2 linked regions of the Tamandua tetradactyla genome follow. Each later gene encodes a partner of the first gene's protein in a complex. Links are inferred from orthologs where the notes say so. Each region holds a gene or a part of one and is shown in the gene's direction. Other genes may lie near its edges. The genes, in order: NHP2 and DKC1.

Region 1 (8,384 bases):
TTCCTGTGCTGTGATCTATTGATCCATTGTTCTTTCCTTCCAGCTCTCATTAGCAGCTTTTAGAGGGTCAGTCTAGTGGCGGCAAACTCCCTCAGCTTTTGTTTCTCTGGGAATGTTTTCATCTCTCCCTCATTTTTTTTCTCTCCCTATTTATTGAAACACAGTTTTGCCAGATATAGACTTCTTGGTTGGCAGTTTTTTGCTCTCAGCACTTTGAATATGTCATCCCACTGCCTTGCTGCTGTCATGGTTTTCATGAGAGATCAGCACTTAATTTTATTGAGACTCCTTTGTATTTGACAAGTTGCTTTTCTCAGCTTTCAGAATTCTCTATCTTTGGCATTTGACTGTTTAATTACATGTGGTATGTGTCTATTTGGGCTTATCCCTATTTGGAGTTCATTGAGCATCTTGGATATGAATATTCATGTTTCTTATTAAATTTGGGAAGTTTCAGCCACTCTTTATTTATTTATTTTTTTTGCATGGGCAGGCACCGGGAATCAAACCCGGGTCTCTGGCATGGCAGGCGAGAACTCTGCCTGCTGAGCCACAGCAGCCCCGCCCTGAGCCACTATTTTTTTTAATATTCTTTCTGCCCCTTTCTCTCCTTTCTTCTTCTGGGATTTTCAAACGCATAAATTGGTATGCTTGATGGTGTCCCACAACTTCCTCATGAGCTGTTCACTTTTCCTCATTCTTTCTGCTCCTCAGACAGGATGACTTCAATTGCCTTATCCTCAAGTTCAGTGACTCTTTCTACTGACAGCTGTTCTTCAACCTCTCTAGCAAATTTTTACCTACTGTTGCTTTTTCATTTTTTTTGCTTTGGAATTGCATGAGAAGAAATGGCCTCTCCCATGACTCTTTGGCCTAATTTTATGTAGGCTTAGCCTATCCTTTGCAGGAATAAGTTTCAAAGGGGCGAACCCCAAGATCGAGGGCTTGGTCTATTGATTTGGTTGTCCCCACTGATTGCAAGAATATCAGAAATTCTCCAAATGGGAAAGTTGAATATTTCCTCCTTTCCTCCCAGTCCCAGAAGGGGACTTTGGAAATATTTCCTTATTCACTGCCCAAATTACTCTGGAATGTATTAGAATATCACATTAACCTGACAAACCAACAAAATCTTACATCCTACTCAAGATTCCATGTACTTATAGTGTTCACCTAAACTGACCAGACAAGTTAAATTAGGTAATGCACTATGACCTAAAATATAAATTTTGTGCCAAATAAACATCTCTCCCTTTGATCCAATGGCTTTTTTTTTGTATGCTATATACCCGGGGTCATATTTCATTCTTTTTCCATGTGTGCATCTCGTTATTGCAGCACCATTTGTTGAATTTTTGTTTGTTTTCTCTTTCTTTCTTTGCTTGTTTGGGAAAGTGCATAAGCCGGGAATCAAACCCGGGTCTCCTGCGTGGCAGGTTCTATGAATCTCAAGTGAGCAATACATTTTAACAATAAAATTGATAAAGTTACACAAGCCATCTTGGAATCAGCATAGGTCACTGAGGCTGGCTTTAGAAATACACAGTGTGGTTTACTGAGGAGACATTTGTTCTTGGTATATCATTGTCTCTTGGTTTAAGATGCTGACACTTGTGACACTTGTAGCCAGGTTGAGGGTCCTTCACTTTCACAGTGGAGCCATGTTTCACATCCTTTGAGCTGAAGTCAAACACCAGTTTACATGGGTGGGGAGAATCTGAGCTTTCAAATAGGTGGACTTGGACTCAAATTCAACTTTTTTTAAAAAAAACTTTTTTTGTGTGAAATATAACATAGATACAAAAAAGCAATAAATTTCAAAGTACATTATATACAAGTTATAAAACAGATTTCAGTTTAGTATGGGTTACCATTCCACAATATTAGGATTTTCTTCCAGCTTCTCCAAGACATGGGAGACTAAAAGAAATATTGATATAATGATTCAGCAATCATACTCATTTGTTAAATCCTATTTTCTCTGTTATAACTCCTCCTCCTTTGATTCTTCTCTCAATCTTTAGGGGTATTTGGGTTATGCCCATTCTAACTTTTTCATGTTGGAAAGGGGGATGGAATGGATAGAGGGATGGAACTATTTAATGTTCTTGGAGGGGCTGGCCCCTCTGGGTTTCAGAATTTACCTGGCCTAGGAACCCATCTGAAGGTTATAGGTATCTGGAAAGCAATTTTAGTGCATGAAACTTTTGTAGAATTTCAGATAGTGTTCTAGTATTCTTTAGGGTTAATAGGAGTGGTTGGGATTTGGGAAGCTTGTGTTAAGAGTAGCCCTCAGAACAGCCTCCTGGCTGTATCAAGTTCAGCTTTGTGTGAGCTGGAACTAGTGACTCACCTCTCTGAGCCTCAGTATATCGTGAATAATAATGGTAGTTTTCATGAGCATTGAATGAGCTATTTTATGTAATGCCCTTGGCACAAAATGTTAATTTCATTCCTCCTTCCCTATAAGACCTGAATGGTCCTCACAGCCGAAGAGGCCAAGGACTCAACAGTATTTGTTTGAATTGGGTTTCTCAGGGATGGATTTCTCTATCACGTCACTGGACAAACAGTCCATATCATGCCCTGTGTGCTGGTTTGAAAGGAAGTGTGCCCCCTAAGAAAAGCCATGTTTTAATATAAGTCTAATTTCATAAGGTAGAATAATCTCTATTCAACACTGTATGTTTGAAACTGTGATTGGATCATCTCCCTGGTTGATGTGATTTAGTCAAGAGTGGTTGTTAAACTGGATTAAGGGATGACATGTCTCCACCCATTTGGGTGGGTCTTGACTGGTTTATTGGAGTCCTATAAAAAAGGAAATATTTCAGAGAATGAGAGATTCAGAGAGAGCAGAGAATGCTGCAGCACCACGAAGTAGAGAGTCCACGAGCCAGTGACCTTTGGAGATGAAGAAGGAAGACACCTCCCGGGGAGCTTCATGAAATAGGAAGCCAGGAGAGAAAGCTGGCAGATGACGCCATATTCGCCATGTGCCCTTCCAGCTGAGAGAGAAGCCCTGACTGTGTTCGCCATGTGCCTTTCCAGATGAGAGACAAACCCTGAACTTCATTGGCCTTCTTGAACCAAGGTATCTTTCCCCAGATGCCTTTGATTGGACATTTCTATAGACTTGGTTTAATTGGGACATTTTTTCGGCCTTAGAACTATAAACTAGCAACTCACTAAATCCCCCCTTTTAAAAGCCGTTCCGTTTCTGGTGTGTTGCATTCTGGCAGCTAGCAAACTAGAACACCCTGTGTGCACACTTGGCAGCACTTATCACCTTTGTGACCATGGTACATTTTCACACCAGATCTACAAGGCTCAAATTGTGTACAAGAAAATCCCTTCGAAACACGAACAGAAAACCGCTATGCAGTTTATCCTGGGAAATGGTAATAGAAAACCACTCCATGGAGCCCTGCCACAAGGCTGGTCTCAGGCCCTGCATTCCACTGGAAAGAGTTGCCCAGGGAGGATCAGAATTGCTGCCACATAGGAGGTAGGAGGACAGGGGAGGGTTTGGGATGAGAAATGGTACTGCAAAATCGTCTCTAGTAAGGTGAAAGTTGGCAGTAACTCAGTGTTTCTAAAGCTCTGGGAGAGGCCTCTCTTCTCATGCAATTTCAAAGCGAAGAAAATGAAAAAGTCCATCTTTAAATTGGACACGTTGGCTTAAATAACCCGCCACCCCCACTGCCACCCACCCACTTCTAAAGTTGTGCTTCCTGACCCCTTATTGCACCACACAAATGAAGGACCTACACCGCATAAGCAAAGGCAATTACTTTGCATCAGTTAATAGCCATCTAGCATTCCACAAGATCAAAGAGATTTATCAGTGATGACGAGATCCACCCTTGGCATCGCGATCCACAGTTCTCCACAGCTACATCCGAACTGGTCTGTCTTCTCAGATCTGCCTCCCTTACCCTATGTTAGCCTCGCGTGCGTTTCGCTCCCAGGGGCCAAGGCTGCACGTCAGCTGCCTTCCCCATCAGCCCCAACTCGGTCTCAGCCCCACTCCTGGGTAAAGGCAGGCAGTGGTAAGAACCAGGAGGAACATACAGGGCTGGGGGATGCTGGTGGGGGGCTGCAGTTTTAGATAACGGGCTCAGACGGGAGCCTCTCCCACGGGGAAATACGTGGGCAGAAGGTGCTGGAAGAGAACGGGCGAGCCGCGGCGCGCTCTGGAGGAAAGAGCTCCAGACCTAGGCGCCAGTGATCCCTTGCTCTGGGTTCTTCCGGAGCTGTGCATCCGGGTTCCTCAGAGAGGGAGCACGTAGGAGAAATGATGCCAAAACGGAAGAACGCGTTAGCAGCGTCGGTCTTCGGCCCTAACGTCCAGCACCTGGGGCGCACCTCCCAGGGCCGTTGGGGAGCCTGTTCTTCCGCCAGGGCCGCCCCCCGGTCGTAGCCACGCCCCCACAGGAACGGCCGCTTCCTTCGGCCACCGTAGCCGCGACGCGGGAACTCTCAGGACGGCGGAAGCCGCGGTCCCTTTCCCTCCTGTCCCATAGGACGCCGGCCCGGCCCGCCTCCCCGCCAAGACTCCAGCCGCTGCCCTAGCTCCGCCACTGAGCGTCAGCGATTGGCCTGCGTCGGAGGTGCTCGCTTCCGATTGGTTGTCGTGGCCTGCCGGCCTCGCGCACCGCGGGCTGACCCGGAAGTGATTCCTTTAGCGGCCCGCCGCGTGGATTCGCCTCCCGACTACCCGGACTGGGCGAGTGCCCCGGCCGCTGCCATGACCAAAATAAAGCCGGATCCCGACCGGCCGGAGGCTCAAGCCGAGGCGTGCGCCGGGGAGCGCACCTACCATGAGCTGCTGGTCAACCTGAACCCCATCGCGCAGCCCCTGGCTTCTCGCCGACTCACGCGGAAGCTCTACAAATGCATAAAGAAAGGTATGCCGGGGTCGGGGTCCGGCCGGGACGCGAGCGAGTCTGGCGGGGCGAGAGCTCCTGGCTGAACCGCCCTGTCATTACAGCCGTGAAGCAGAAGCAGATTCGGCGCGGGGTAAAGGAGGTTCAGAAATTTATCAACAAAGGCGAAAAAGGGTAAGGATTCCCCTCCCCGCCGGATTTGTCAAGTCTAGATAGAGGGAAACCCTTACGGCTTAATAGAAGGATATTCCTAAATCGGTTCTGACTCAGCCCCATATGCAGAAGATAAAGCAGCCGACGAATCCCCTGCAGTACAGATTCCGATAATCACTTATACGAGCTCAAAGGGACAGTGGACTCCGGAGGGAAGCCCGTTGTTGACACGGACTCAGAGTAGACCCCAGCTTCATTCATTCGGCGACTATTTATTGGGCATCCTTTTCTTGTCTGGCACCTGACTGTGGGGATGAAACACTGATCGAATAATCGCATGCACAAAAGTAATTACAAATTGTGATAACCGTGAAGGAAACGTACAGGGTGCAGTGAGAATGACATCATCGCCCTGCTTATCTTACGGCATTTATCAGAACCTGTGGTACTTATTTACATTTTCATTCCCTTCCTTCCCACATAGGACTGCAGGCCCCTTGAAACCAGGGCCTCTTTATCCCCAGTGTCTGACCCAATAGATGCCCAAGATAAAATGCTGTGTGTGTGTGGGGGGGGGGGGGGGAGGGGGTGATGTTCAGATAGGAATCTGCCCTACTTGGGGTTGAGATAGGTGCATCAGCGAGTTTCCCTGACAATTCACATTTGAGCTGAGATCTGAGGACGGGGATTAACCAGTGGTGGGAGGGTTGTTCCAGCAGAAGAGGATTCTGTATAAAAGTCTAGGGCAGGAGAGAGCTGAGGTGGGCAGAGGTCCTATCTTCTCATGAGTCCCTGTAAGCCACAGTCAGGAATTTGGTTCTTGTACTCTGTGCATTAGGTGGACCATTAAAGTGGTACAGCTAGGTAGTACCCTAAGTATGTTTACAGTTCAAGATTTTCCTGGCAACTGAGAAAAGAAAAAATTAGAGAGGCAGGAATAGATGTGAGAAAACTGGAGGCTACTTCAATCCAGAAAAGGTAAGGGTGATTTTGATTAGGCTGGTGATGGGATGCAGATGGTGAGAATTCAGGTAGATGGATTTGAAATAACTTTAGTATATGAAGAGTGAGGAGATAGTGTTTGGTTTTAGACAAGTTTTTGCGGTGCCTTTGAGACAGTAGGCAGATTGTTATATGGGATTGGTTATATGGGAGTGACAGCTGGTCTGGAGAAAACAGATTTGGGGGTTGTCAGTACATAGATGGCACTGATGCCATGGCTGAGGATCACGTCGGCCAGGGAGAAGGTGTTAAGTGACACAGGGCAGTCGGAGACCAGGCTGTGAGGATTACCAACATTTCAAAGGTACTTAAAGGAAGAGAATCCTGCAGAGGAACAGAGCCCAAGAAGCAGAAGGCAAACAGGACACTGAAGCAGTGCTCTGAGCTGGGCTTCTCTCCTGCCTGCCTTTCACCCACCCTTGGAGAACAGATTCTTTCATCTGTCTTCAGGGCTCCGGAGGTCCTTGGCCCAGAGCCCAACCTGGCCAGCTAGGAACCCTAGCTGAGGATTCTCAGACAAGCCTTTAGTGGTGTCCTGGCACTCAAGGCCGTTGGTATGGCGCCTGCCTGCTGTCTAGCATTCTTGGCTACTGCCCACCTCATCCCCATCCTGGATTTCAAAGCCATCCAGGCTGCCAGCAGCCTCCATGCTGTATCGTACCATTCTGCTTCTCTTCGCCTTAATGTCTTCCTCGCACTCTGCATCCCCCATGAGCTGCCTGCCATTCATTCGTTCAGCCTTGGTTCAAGTGCTGGCCCCTGGCTGAAGCCTTGTCTGACTTTCCAAAGAGAATTACTTACTCCTTTGTGCCCCTGCCATACTCTGTCACTTTACCACTTGTCACACTTGGTGGCATTTACTTGTTGCCATGTCACCTCCCACTGAATCAGTGGGTCTTAGGTCAGACCTAAACTATTTCTTAGGTTAGAGATACATTTGAATCTGTAGTTAAAAAATAGAGATCATCTCCCCCAGAATGCACTCACCCAAACACACTGTTTTTCTCCCACTTTCGAGGACTGTAGACATCCCCATTAATGACTATGGGTTCCTTGAGGACAGAGGCACTTTATTCTGAGCTGTAACCCCAAGGCCCAACCCAGAGGCAGCACTGAAGGGCTGAAAAAAGAGCAGGCTAGAAATGACAGTGTTTTCTTTCTTCTCAGGATCATGGTTTTGGCAGGAGACACACTGCCCATTGAGGTATTCTGCCATCTCCCGGTGATGTGTGAGGACCGGGATATGCCCTACGTCTACATTCCCTCCAAGACGGTGAGAAGCACAGCACCCTCCAACGTTTGTTGGCACTGGGAGGGGGTCTGGGACCTGGACTGTGGCACTAGGCTATTGTGGAAAAGGACACAAGCTCTGGAGTCAGGAGAGTTCTGGATCAGTGCTTGGCTCTGCTGCTGCTTAGTTGTGGAACCGAAAATAAGTTACCTTCCTGCACTTTAGTTTCCTCCTCATAAAATCAGAATCTATTCCTGTGTGGACTGTGAGACTGAAAACCAGTAGACTCGAGTGTGTATGCTTTCCAAATTAAAATGTGGCACAAGTGTGAGCCCTGTTAGGTGTTTCAGTATTTTGGGAAGCTGCAGCTGTCCTTATCTTTACGTAGCAGGGCCAGAGCTGGAGTGCCGCAGAGTTAGGGGTGGTGGGGACTGGAGAACATAGGCTCTGCCCTATGGAGATGTGACTTGAAAATTTGCTGAGTTTAAAAAGTGGCAACCAATTCAAAATGCTTTTGAGCATAATACGGACCCAGTAGGACAATTTGGGCCATATTAGGCCTGGGGTCATCAGTTGTGACTTCTGGTGTACAGGCTGTGCGGCATTTCCCCCAGCCTTTCTCTCCCCGTTCTCTGTAGGACCTGGGGGCGGCCGCTGGCTCCAAGCGCCCCACCTGTGTGATCATGGTCAAGCCCCACGAGGACTACCAGGAGGCCTACGATGAGTGCCTCGAGGAGGTCCAGGCCCTGCCCCCGCCCCTGTGAGACTCGGGCAACCACCTGTGAACCTGCTCTGGAAGCGGTGGGACTGGCGGCTGGCCAGCTGGCTGCCCTCTTTGCTGCCCACATGCACAGCGTTTCCACAGTCCCCTGAGGCATTTTTTCTTCCCAGGCAGCTCCAGCAGCTAATTCATGAAGGTAAAAGCCAGCATCTTTTCCATCGCTGCCATTTCCTGTTGAGCTTAAATGAAGACCATTCCAAGAATTTGGTGTGGGGGAAGTAAATGCTAAGACTAAAATGTGGTGAGTGTGTGGGTGTTTTTAAGCAGCAGCTGCTGGGGGTACCAAGGAGTTGGTGGGCAGCAAAGAGCGGAAGCAGACTTTCTTGCC
Region 2 (8,924 bases), on another chromosome or scaffold:
CTTACTAAATTCCGTTTTAAAAGCCATTCCAGTTCTGGTATATTGCATTCTGGCAACTTGTAAACTAAGACCTGCTTTTCAGAATAGTTTCTTATACCTAAGACACTGGGCCCTGCTGATTCTAGTACCAGCAGAATTCTGAGTGCCATTTGGCCATTTCAGGCTCCTTATGCCATTACCCAACCCTGCCCCCTCCAGCAGACTTCCAGTTATGACCCTTTAGCCACAACTATGTCACACGGTCACTGTGACTGCAAGGATCTGACAAAAGGAAGGGTTTACCATGACTGGGCTAAACCATTTAGGATTCATCCCTGATTCTGGGTTTAGTGCCAACCTGCACAAAATGGGTAACTGCTAGAAAGGGAGAAAGGGAAAGAAATGGCTGTTGGGTCACCAACTAACAGAGCTTACCATGTGTGACCAGTGAAACATTGTAAAGAACAGTCATAGCCCTATAGAACCTGAGGGCAGAAGAGCAGGTGAGGAACTAAAAGGCATCTATTAAGGGACACTATATGACGATTTTACAGGGAAAGCATATTTGAAGGTATTGTTTTAAATTTACTTCTTTAAAAAAATGTAATTTTCTGGGCGGTGTGATGGTGGCTCAGTGAAAGAATTCTTGCCTGCCACGCTGGAGACCCGGGTTCGATTCCTGGTGCCTGCCCATGCAAAAAAACAAAAAAAAAGTAATTTTCTGTTTTTATCGCCCCAGTCCTTCACTAAAGTCTCATATAATGATATATCTTTGTTTGGTGGTTATGTGCTTTGAAGCTGTATGTACCCCAGAAAGAGATGTTCTTAAATCTAATCTATTTCTCTGGTTGAACCCATTGTACGTAGGATCCTTTGATCAGGCTACTTTAGTTAGGTGTGACCCACCTCATTCAGGATGGATCTTAATCCTCTTATTGGAGTCCTTTATAAATGGAATGATATAGAAACAGGAAGCTGAAAGTAATGAAACCCTGAAGAGAAGGGAGAGACCAGCAGATGCCGCCCTGTCCCTTGTCATGTGGCAGAGGAGCCAAGGATTGCTGGCAGCCAGTGTTTGGGAAGAAAGCATTGCTTTGATCATGCCTTGATTTGTACATTTTCTTCATCTCAAGCTGTGAGCTAATAAATTCCTGTTAATTAAATCAATCCATCTCATGGCATCTGCTTTGAGTAGCCTAGCAAACTAAAACAGTGGTGTGGAAGAAAGGAGTAAGTGATGAGCCATAAGCAATTTTGAGGCTAACCTTCAATGTTCACTCATCCATTCACATGCTCATTCTCATTCTCTCCAACCCTCCCCCGCATATATACATATACCGTTAAGACAGCAAGAGTCAGTTTCTTTCACTTGCAAATGAAACATTTCTAACTGACTCTGGACTTAGTACTGTAAGTAAAGCCTCCCATGTGATAATTCTCAGAGAAGTGTAGGACTTTTGTTTTGGTTGTCTGGCCAGATGTGGTGAAAAGACAATCAGAATCCTATTAATAATCTGGACTGGGAATCTACTAGCCTACAGCATGTTACTAACAAATCAGGTACTAATTGTTTGTCATCACTTAAACCTATCCATCGCTGTGAAATGTCTGGGATAATTCCCTTGCAGGCTTCTTGGTCTAGGCATCACCTCTACATAAACCTCCACTGTAGATCCTGACCCTCCTATAAAATTCCATTTTTTCCTGGTGGGTCAAACACTTTCAAATTACAATTGCATTAATATTGTCTAGATATTTCCTGTTACATATTAGTATTCTACTACTCTTTTGATATGCAGGCTTACTCCTACTACATTTGTCTTTGTAATTGTTCCCTTAGTGAATGTAGAGATGAATTGTAGTCATAGGTCTTTAGATATTGGGGTGGGGTGGGGGTTAGAGGAATGTGAATATCTGGTGGCAGGGCATGCAAGGCAGAAAGAAGAGCAGGTACAAAAGCCCAGAAAGTGGGGAGTGTGCCTGGAATAGACATGAACAGCCAAAAGACCAACGTGGGGGTACGAGTAGCCAGACCTGAATTCAGAAAGAGAACTGGGGGCACATTCTGTCAGCTATTATTGGGACTTTGACTTTTACTCTTGGTGAAATGTGGAGCTTTGAGCAGAGGAAGAATATGACTTAAGTTTATTGACTCTTTTGGGCTGCTGCATTGAGAAGACACAGTAGGTTGGAAAGGCAGAAATGGGGGGACCTGTCAGGAGGCCACTGGAAAAATCTCAGAGAGCCACAATGTCAGCAGGGGCCTTAGTGACAGCAGCGAGGGTGGTGAAAAGCGGTCTGATTCTGGGCTTGCTAACAGACTGAATGAGGAGTGTGCAACAAAGAGAGGAATGGAGGATGACTCTGACACTATTTTGTCTGTGCAACTGCAAGAATGGAGCTACTACTTACTGAGATGAAGAAACCCAGAGGAGAACTAGGTTTGGGTAGAGTATCAGGAGCCCAGTTACGGACACTTCATGTTTGAGGTGCCTTTTAGATATCCAGATGAAGATATTGAACAAGAGGCCAAATAGACACGTTTGGAGATTAGGGAAGAGGTCTGGGCTGGGGATCTGATTTGGTGAGTCATTGCCATTTAAAGACATGGGCCTCGATGAGATCACCAACACAGCAAGGTACAGCTAAAGGAAAGGGCCAAGGAATAAGCCTTGGTGCACTCTGACATTAAACGCTTGGGGTGACAAGGAGGAGTCAGGGAAGGTGCTTGAGATGGAGTGGCCAGTGAGGTCAAAGGGGAACCAAGAGAGTAGGATGTCCTGGAAGCCAAGGGAAGCAAGTGTCCAAAGGGACCAATGGACATGTAAAATGTTGCTGGAAGCAGCCATCTCCATCTGCAGGGGGTTGTTAGGGAAGTCACTGATACCTGTTAAGTGACCTCAGCCCCAGCCTCACCTATCCTCACCTCCCTCTCTGGGAAAGTCAGGAACACACTTTAAGTAGCCATTGTACCTATGGGCTTCTGCTCCCTCCACTTCCTTTTTCACTGTGTGACATTCTAGAACCTAGTCAGACTTAACACCCAGAAACTGGGAACCAGCAGCTCCAGATGCCCGTCAGAATAGGAATTCTCAGTGGCAAGCCCCCTCCTCCTGAGGTGAATAAAACCCACATTCAAACAGTACAAGTGGGTCTCTCTTCTCTGGCATGAAGTGGGGCATGTGGGACAGCCATCTGTCAACACCTACCTGGAACAGCTTTTGGCCACCCAGAGGGGACTGGCTGTGAGGGGACTTCTTCCCCTGCTCATAGACTCTTTGTGCTGTGAAAACAAGGAGACTATTCACCCTTTCTGGACTCTTTATTCTGTGCAAGTAATAAAGGGATCATTTGCTGAAAGTTTCTCTTAGGCCCTGAACCTGTGTTCCCATGACAAGCAGTTGAGGCAAGGTGCTCCCTAGCGACAGCAGTGGAAGTGAAGGCTGTGAAGAACTGAGGGAAAAAAAGGACCTGTAGGTGTCCCTGCTTGTAACTTGTCCCCCAAGCTCCTAAAATGAAGCCAGGTGAACCAGAGATGGAAGGGCTTCACCACCACTAACTACCCACCTGCATGGGTAGATTACACCCTTAGTCCAGGGGCCCATGAGTTGGGAAACCCCCTTCCTGCAGCTCCAGAGTGTGTAAGTCACAGAAGAGGCAGCTCTGAAGCTGCTGAGTGAGAATGGAAATGTTGATTATTGGATAAGATCAACCCCTCTAGCAGGCAGATAACCATCCGGACAAGGACAAGGACAAGAGCTCCATTGCATTTCTGGCCGGGTCCATGTGGGCCCTGCCTTAACCCCTATAAGTTCCCTGCTGAGGACTTAGTGCCTCTGGCAGTTCACCTGCTCTCCACTTGGTGGAATGCAATATTATCTTGAACTTGCGATCTCTGAACCACAGGCCCCTGTGATGGCAGCAATCTTTAACTCATGCCCGCAGGGCGGGAGGGTGGAGGTACATTTTTGAACAGGCTCTAACTAAGAGATCATTCTCTAGGATTGTGTTCTTACAGCATAACCTCTCACCTTTTCATCCTAATCGCTAGACTCTCCAGCAACTCCAAACTACATCCCCTCCACAGACTCCTCCTAATACTGTAAACTTTCGACAGCTTGGCTGGGGGTGGGGTGGGGGGAGCGAGGTCACCTCCCCAGGTAATGTAACCCCACTTTGGTAGAGAGGCAGAAGTTGATGATACGGGAAACAGAAAGGGGAATTGCTGGAGCAATGTACTGAGTAAGCAAAAGGGCTTGGGATCTGGGTGAAATGGAGGGGCTGGCCTGAGTTAAGGGCATGGGTGTTTCATTCATTCAGGGATAAGGGAGGAAAGGCAAAATATCTTTGGTAACTGGTGGGTGGGTTGTTAGATAGATATGGTAGAAAAGCCTGCGTGGAGATCCTCTTGTGATTGCTTTCGTTCTTAATAGAGCCAGGTCATCATCAGTTGAGTGCCAGGTGTGTTGGCGGTTGGAGGAACAGGTGAGGAGCGCCTCATGGGAGAGTGCGGCGTCAGCAGGAGCGCCAGGTAGCGCTGAGGGCTGGGCTGCCGCCTGAGACTGTCTGCGCGACGGGACTTGTAGCTTCCGCAGCAGGGTGCTAGGGTGCGGGCAGGATAGGTGGACAGCTGAGTTTAGCAGCTTGTGGCTTTGACACAGCACCCCTCGCAGTACACCGAGACCACCCGCTACGGGCCTGGTCCGAATTAAGGGGGTGCCGTAAGGGATTCGAAGACTTGATACGGGGGAAGAAAATAAAGGATGTAAAATACCTTATTCTAATGTTTCGCACCGACTACACGCTGAAGTGGTAATATTCCGGATACACTGGGTTAAGTGCGACGCATTATTAAAATGACTGTCACTTGTTTCTGTTCCCGGGCCCCCACGCGGCTCGCATTCTCTTCAGCGCCGCTCGGGGCCGACGGTCAAGTGAGGCGCGGGGGCCTCACCGCCTCTCTGCTTATTTCCTTATTTTGTAACGGGGGCTGTGGGCCCGAGGAAGCGGTGAGGTAATATTGACAGAGCGTCTCGCACACAGCCCAGGGGCGGCCGCGCGGGCTGGACCGAGCGAGGGGGGCGCAGAGGTCGAGCCCACAGGCTCCGGGCCGCCCCGGGCGCGCCTCCCTAAGCGCCCCCCGGCCCGGGCCGTGGAAGGAGGGGCGAGGCCCGAGGCGCCCGCGCGCACGCGCCGCCCGCAGGGGCCGAATTGGCCAATGGGACCGCTCAGGCGGTCTGCACGCGTCCAGGGCCCCGCCCCGCCCCTCGGCGCTGCACGTAAGGGACGGCGCGCGGGTGGGTGGGCCCTGTCGGCGCGGACTGACGAGACCCGGTCGGCGGGACTCGGCGGTCGTTACCTCCGCGATAGCCCGGGCGGCGCGCACGTTGTGCGGGGAAACATGGCGGACGCCGAAGGTAAGGGCTGCGGACGGCCGGGCCGGGGTCTCCGGGGTCAGAGGGAACTCTGCGGACTCGGAGAGCCGGGGGAGCGGCGTCGGTGACTCACTGCCGGGGACCCACTCCCGGGCCTCTTGCGGGCCTCGCCTCCCGCTCCGCACGTTGCTTCACCTGCGGGGAGAGCGCAGGACCTAGAGGCCCTTTCGGTGACGTGACCCTGCGGGGCCCGGGCCCCCCGCTAACGGGAAGACCTCCTTAGGGCACTTGGTTGCAAACAGAAGATGTGCTGGCCGCACCCAGGTTCGGGCGCCGCGGGATGCGGGCTGGAGGGGGGTGGACGGGTGGGGAAGAAAGGGGCCGGAGGGCTTTGGGCGCGAGGCCAGCTCCCAGGTGCAAGAAAGTCCCCGAGACTACAAGCTGGCAGGGCTAGCCCAATGGACGCTTTGGAAGTTTCGGGACAGCGAGCGCTCCTCTGCGATTTTTAAGCCCCGCCATGGCCACGTGGTGACCCGGAAGGGGCCCCAACACGTGCGACAGCCGCCAGCTAGTTACCAACCCATGCGGAGTACCATGGTATAGCTTTTGTCCTCAGCACTACTCTTAGATGGAAAATCTGTATTCGCCTGCCCCGATTTCCACTTTTTCGTTTTAAACTTGGATGTCTTTATTTTCGGGGGAAACTTCCAAATCTCGTGTATCTTTTTTAGTAGTTATTTTGCCAAAGAAGCATAAGAAGAAGAAGGACCGAAAGTCAGCACCAGAAGATGTAGCTGTGAGTAGGAATATGTGTTATTTTGGTTAAACTAAAATTTTACTTAACTAACAAACTCAAGAACTGTTTTTCAAATATCTAAGAGATGGGCCAGAATTGGATGCTCTTTGCATAGAAATCCCAAGGGACTGAAAATGAGAATGCCCCCCCCCCCCTTAGCCACCCTAAGTTTCATGCTGGTTTACTAACTGCAGTTGGCTATACCAGATTATCTCCCTATCACTCTTTCTTCCCAACTCCACCCACACACCCTTCATCTCCTGTTTTCTTTAAACATTTGGACCTATCTTAGTGATACTTCATTTCTTTTTCGGAGTTTCTGCTTCTTCTCTTTCTTTCTCCCTTGGAGGCCCCAGTGAAGAAGTATAGAATGCCTTGCTTTCTATTTAAAAGGCGTATACTTCTGTACTAGTAATGGAATTTCTAAAGATCAGGTGAGAGATGTAACAGTGTGTGTTTCTGTTCTGTCAAAGGAAATTCAACACGTAGAAGAATTTCTTATCAAACCTGAATCCAAAGTGGCTCAGTTGGACACATCTCAGTGGCCCCTGCTGTTGAAGGTACGTGGTCAAGATCAGGCATATGGGCTTTGTTACACAGCAAAATAAAGGTATAAGTATGTTACGAAACCAACACTTGGCTACTTCCCGTGATCTCATACATACTTTTATCTTCTCCATGTGGCCATTGCGTGTCCTTGAGCCCCTGTCTGTACCACTTTCTGTACCATCAGTCTTCTCCACTGCGTTTCATTTCTTGAAAGCAAAAATGCTTACTCTTTGACTTCTAGGGAATGCAAAACGATTTAGTTTAAGGCAGTGCTCCTCCAGGTATCTAAGATAATGGACCAGATTTTTTTTTTGAATTTCCAGTATACTGAGTACTCTTCTAGAATATAATTAAAATATCACAGCAATGTTAAACTCCTATCACAGTTTCTAAATACTTACCTGTAACTTTCTCTACTTAATCCATCTTAAGGACCTACAACACTTTGTGGACCACACTTTGAATAACATTACTCTTGTATTTAAGAGCACAAGAGCAATGAGTCAGTCAGGCTGTGTGACCTTGGACTAGTCATTTAATCTCTTCTGCTCACAATAATTATTTTAGGAAGATTTGCTGAGGATTACAGGAGGTAATGCATGAAATATGTTTATCTCCAGTGCCTGGCAACTAGTGTGTCCTGTAGAAAGTATTGTCTATTAATTAGTTTTAAATAGGGTAGTTCAGTCAATTTCTGCTTGGCTAGATGTTTCTGCTATTTAGACAACATCTGCTTCTCTTTTGTAGGCCCCCTGAGAATATGTTGGTGAAGGTGATAGGCACAGTCCTCTATTGGGGAACTTAAAATTGAGGGTGTGGGAGTTACACAAGAAATAATTCTATTTGTGATAAGTACCATGATGAAACCAAATTGGATAATGTGAAAGATGGGCTTGGATTGGAGTCAGGTAGTTCAGCTAGGGTGATCTGTGAAGAGCAGAGGTAAGAGCATCTGAAGCAGGGACAGGATGGTTATTACTGGAAACATTATTGCCAATAATCCTAAATTTGGTTATTCCTACCCACCTCCCAAGAAGGTCAAAGTTCCTCTGTATTTTATCCATAAGTTTGCCCAGTCTATGTTCTGTACCCACGGAGTACTGACCACTTTCTAGAGCAATATATTAAATTTTGAGTTATCAGCTCTACCTTGTTCTTACTAACGTGGGTCATTTTTCCTGTATTTAAGAAGGCTTAACAGTCTGCCATGGCAGATGATGAAAAACAAAGAACAAAAATTCAAGTTATGAACTTTGAGGGTTATATCGTGGTTGCTTGCTGGTGCTGACTTTCCGTTTTATACGTGTTAATGGTTCCAAAACAAGAACTATAGAACCATGAAGTTTATTTTGTGTTGTATTGTTGCTTTCTAGAATTTTGATAAGCTGAATGTAAGGACAACACACTATACACCTCTTCCTTCTGGTTCAAATCCTCTGAAGAGGGAGATTGCGGACTATATCAGGTATCTGTATCTGGGGCAAGCACTGTTCGAACTCTTGTTCCTTTAGAAATGTTATTTTTATATCAGTTCTTTAAGTAGGTAGTTGTACCTTTGAATGGCATTCCCCTTAATATATAGTGTACCTGTGATGATTTCTATTTTATCCTTCAAAAGTTTTGTTTTGTACTGAATGAAGCTGCATGTGAGGTATAGGTTTTTTTTTTTCTTTTTCTTTCTATTATCATTTTAATTCTTATTCTGTTGTCTTTTTATTTCTTTTTCTAAATCGATGCAAATGTACTAAGAAATGATGAATATGCAACTATGTGATGATATTAAGAATTACTGATTGTACATGTAGAATGGAATGATTTCTAATTGTTTTGTTATTTCTTTTTTTAATTAATAAAAAAAAGTTTTGTTTTGTTATAAGATATATATATATATATTTTTAATTCCCCATTCTAGGACAGGTTTCATTAACCTCGACAAACCCTCCAACCCCTCTTCCCATGAGGTGGTAGCCTGGATCCGACGAATACTTCGGGTTGAGAAGACAGGACACAGTGGTACTTTGGATCCCAAGGTGACTGGCTGTCTAATTGTGTGCATAGAACGAGCCACTCGCTTGGTAAAATCACAACAGAGTGCAGGTATGTGCAAGAGGGAGGGAGGTGGTGAGTACTTTACTACGTTTCCCTTTCTGGCTTCATTTTGGCTCTTGGGAATTATTTCTTCATTAAGAAAAAATATTCCTAAAGCAAAATGTTCTATTGGTTTC

The links.
Region 2: NHP2 (region 1) and DKC1 share a complex: the UniProt entries of both Homo sapiens proteins name them as parts of the H/ACA small nucleolar ribonucleoprotein (H/ACA snoRNP) complex. The link is inferred for Tamandua tetradactyla from reciprocal best matches to the Homo sapiens genes NHP2 and DKC1.

Annotation. Positions count from the first base shown.
Region 1 is NC_135346.1:59,724,606-59,732,989, reverse strand, and holds the start of NHP2 (H/ACA ribonucleoprotein complex subunit 2), read left to right. Parts: upstream 1-4,671; 5' UTR 4,672-4,750; coding exon 4,751-4,910; intron 4,911-4,993; coding exon 4,994-5,063; intron 5,064-7,211; coding exon 7,212-7,317; intron 7,318-7,868; coding exon of another isoform or gene 7,869-7,913; coding exon 7,914-8,039; 3' UTR 8,040-8,384. UniProt on the Homo sapiens protein: Required for ribosome biogenesis and telomere maintenance. Part of the H/ACA small nucleolar ribonucleoprotein (H/ACA snoRNP) complex, which catalyzes pseudouridylation of rRNA.
Region 2 is NC_135353.1:1,660,547-1,669,470, reverse strand, and holds the start of DKC1 (H/ACA ribonucleoprotein complex subunit DKC1), read left to right. Parts: upstream 1-5,275; 5' UTR 5,276-5,380; coding exon 5,381-5,396; intron 5,397-6,085; coding exon 6,086-6,150; intron 6,151-6,623; coding exon 6,624-6,710; intron 6,711-8,072; coding exon 8,073-8,164; intron 8,165-8,611; coding exon 8,612-8,796; intron 8,797-8,924.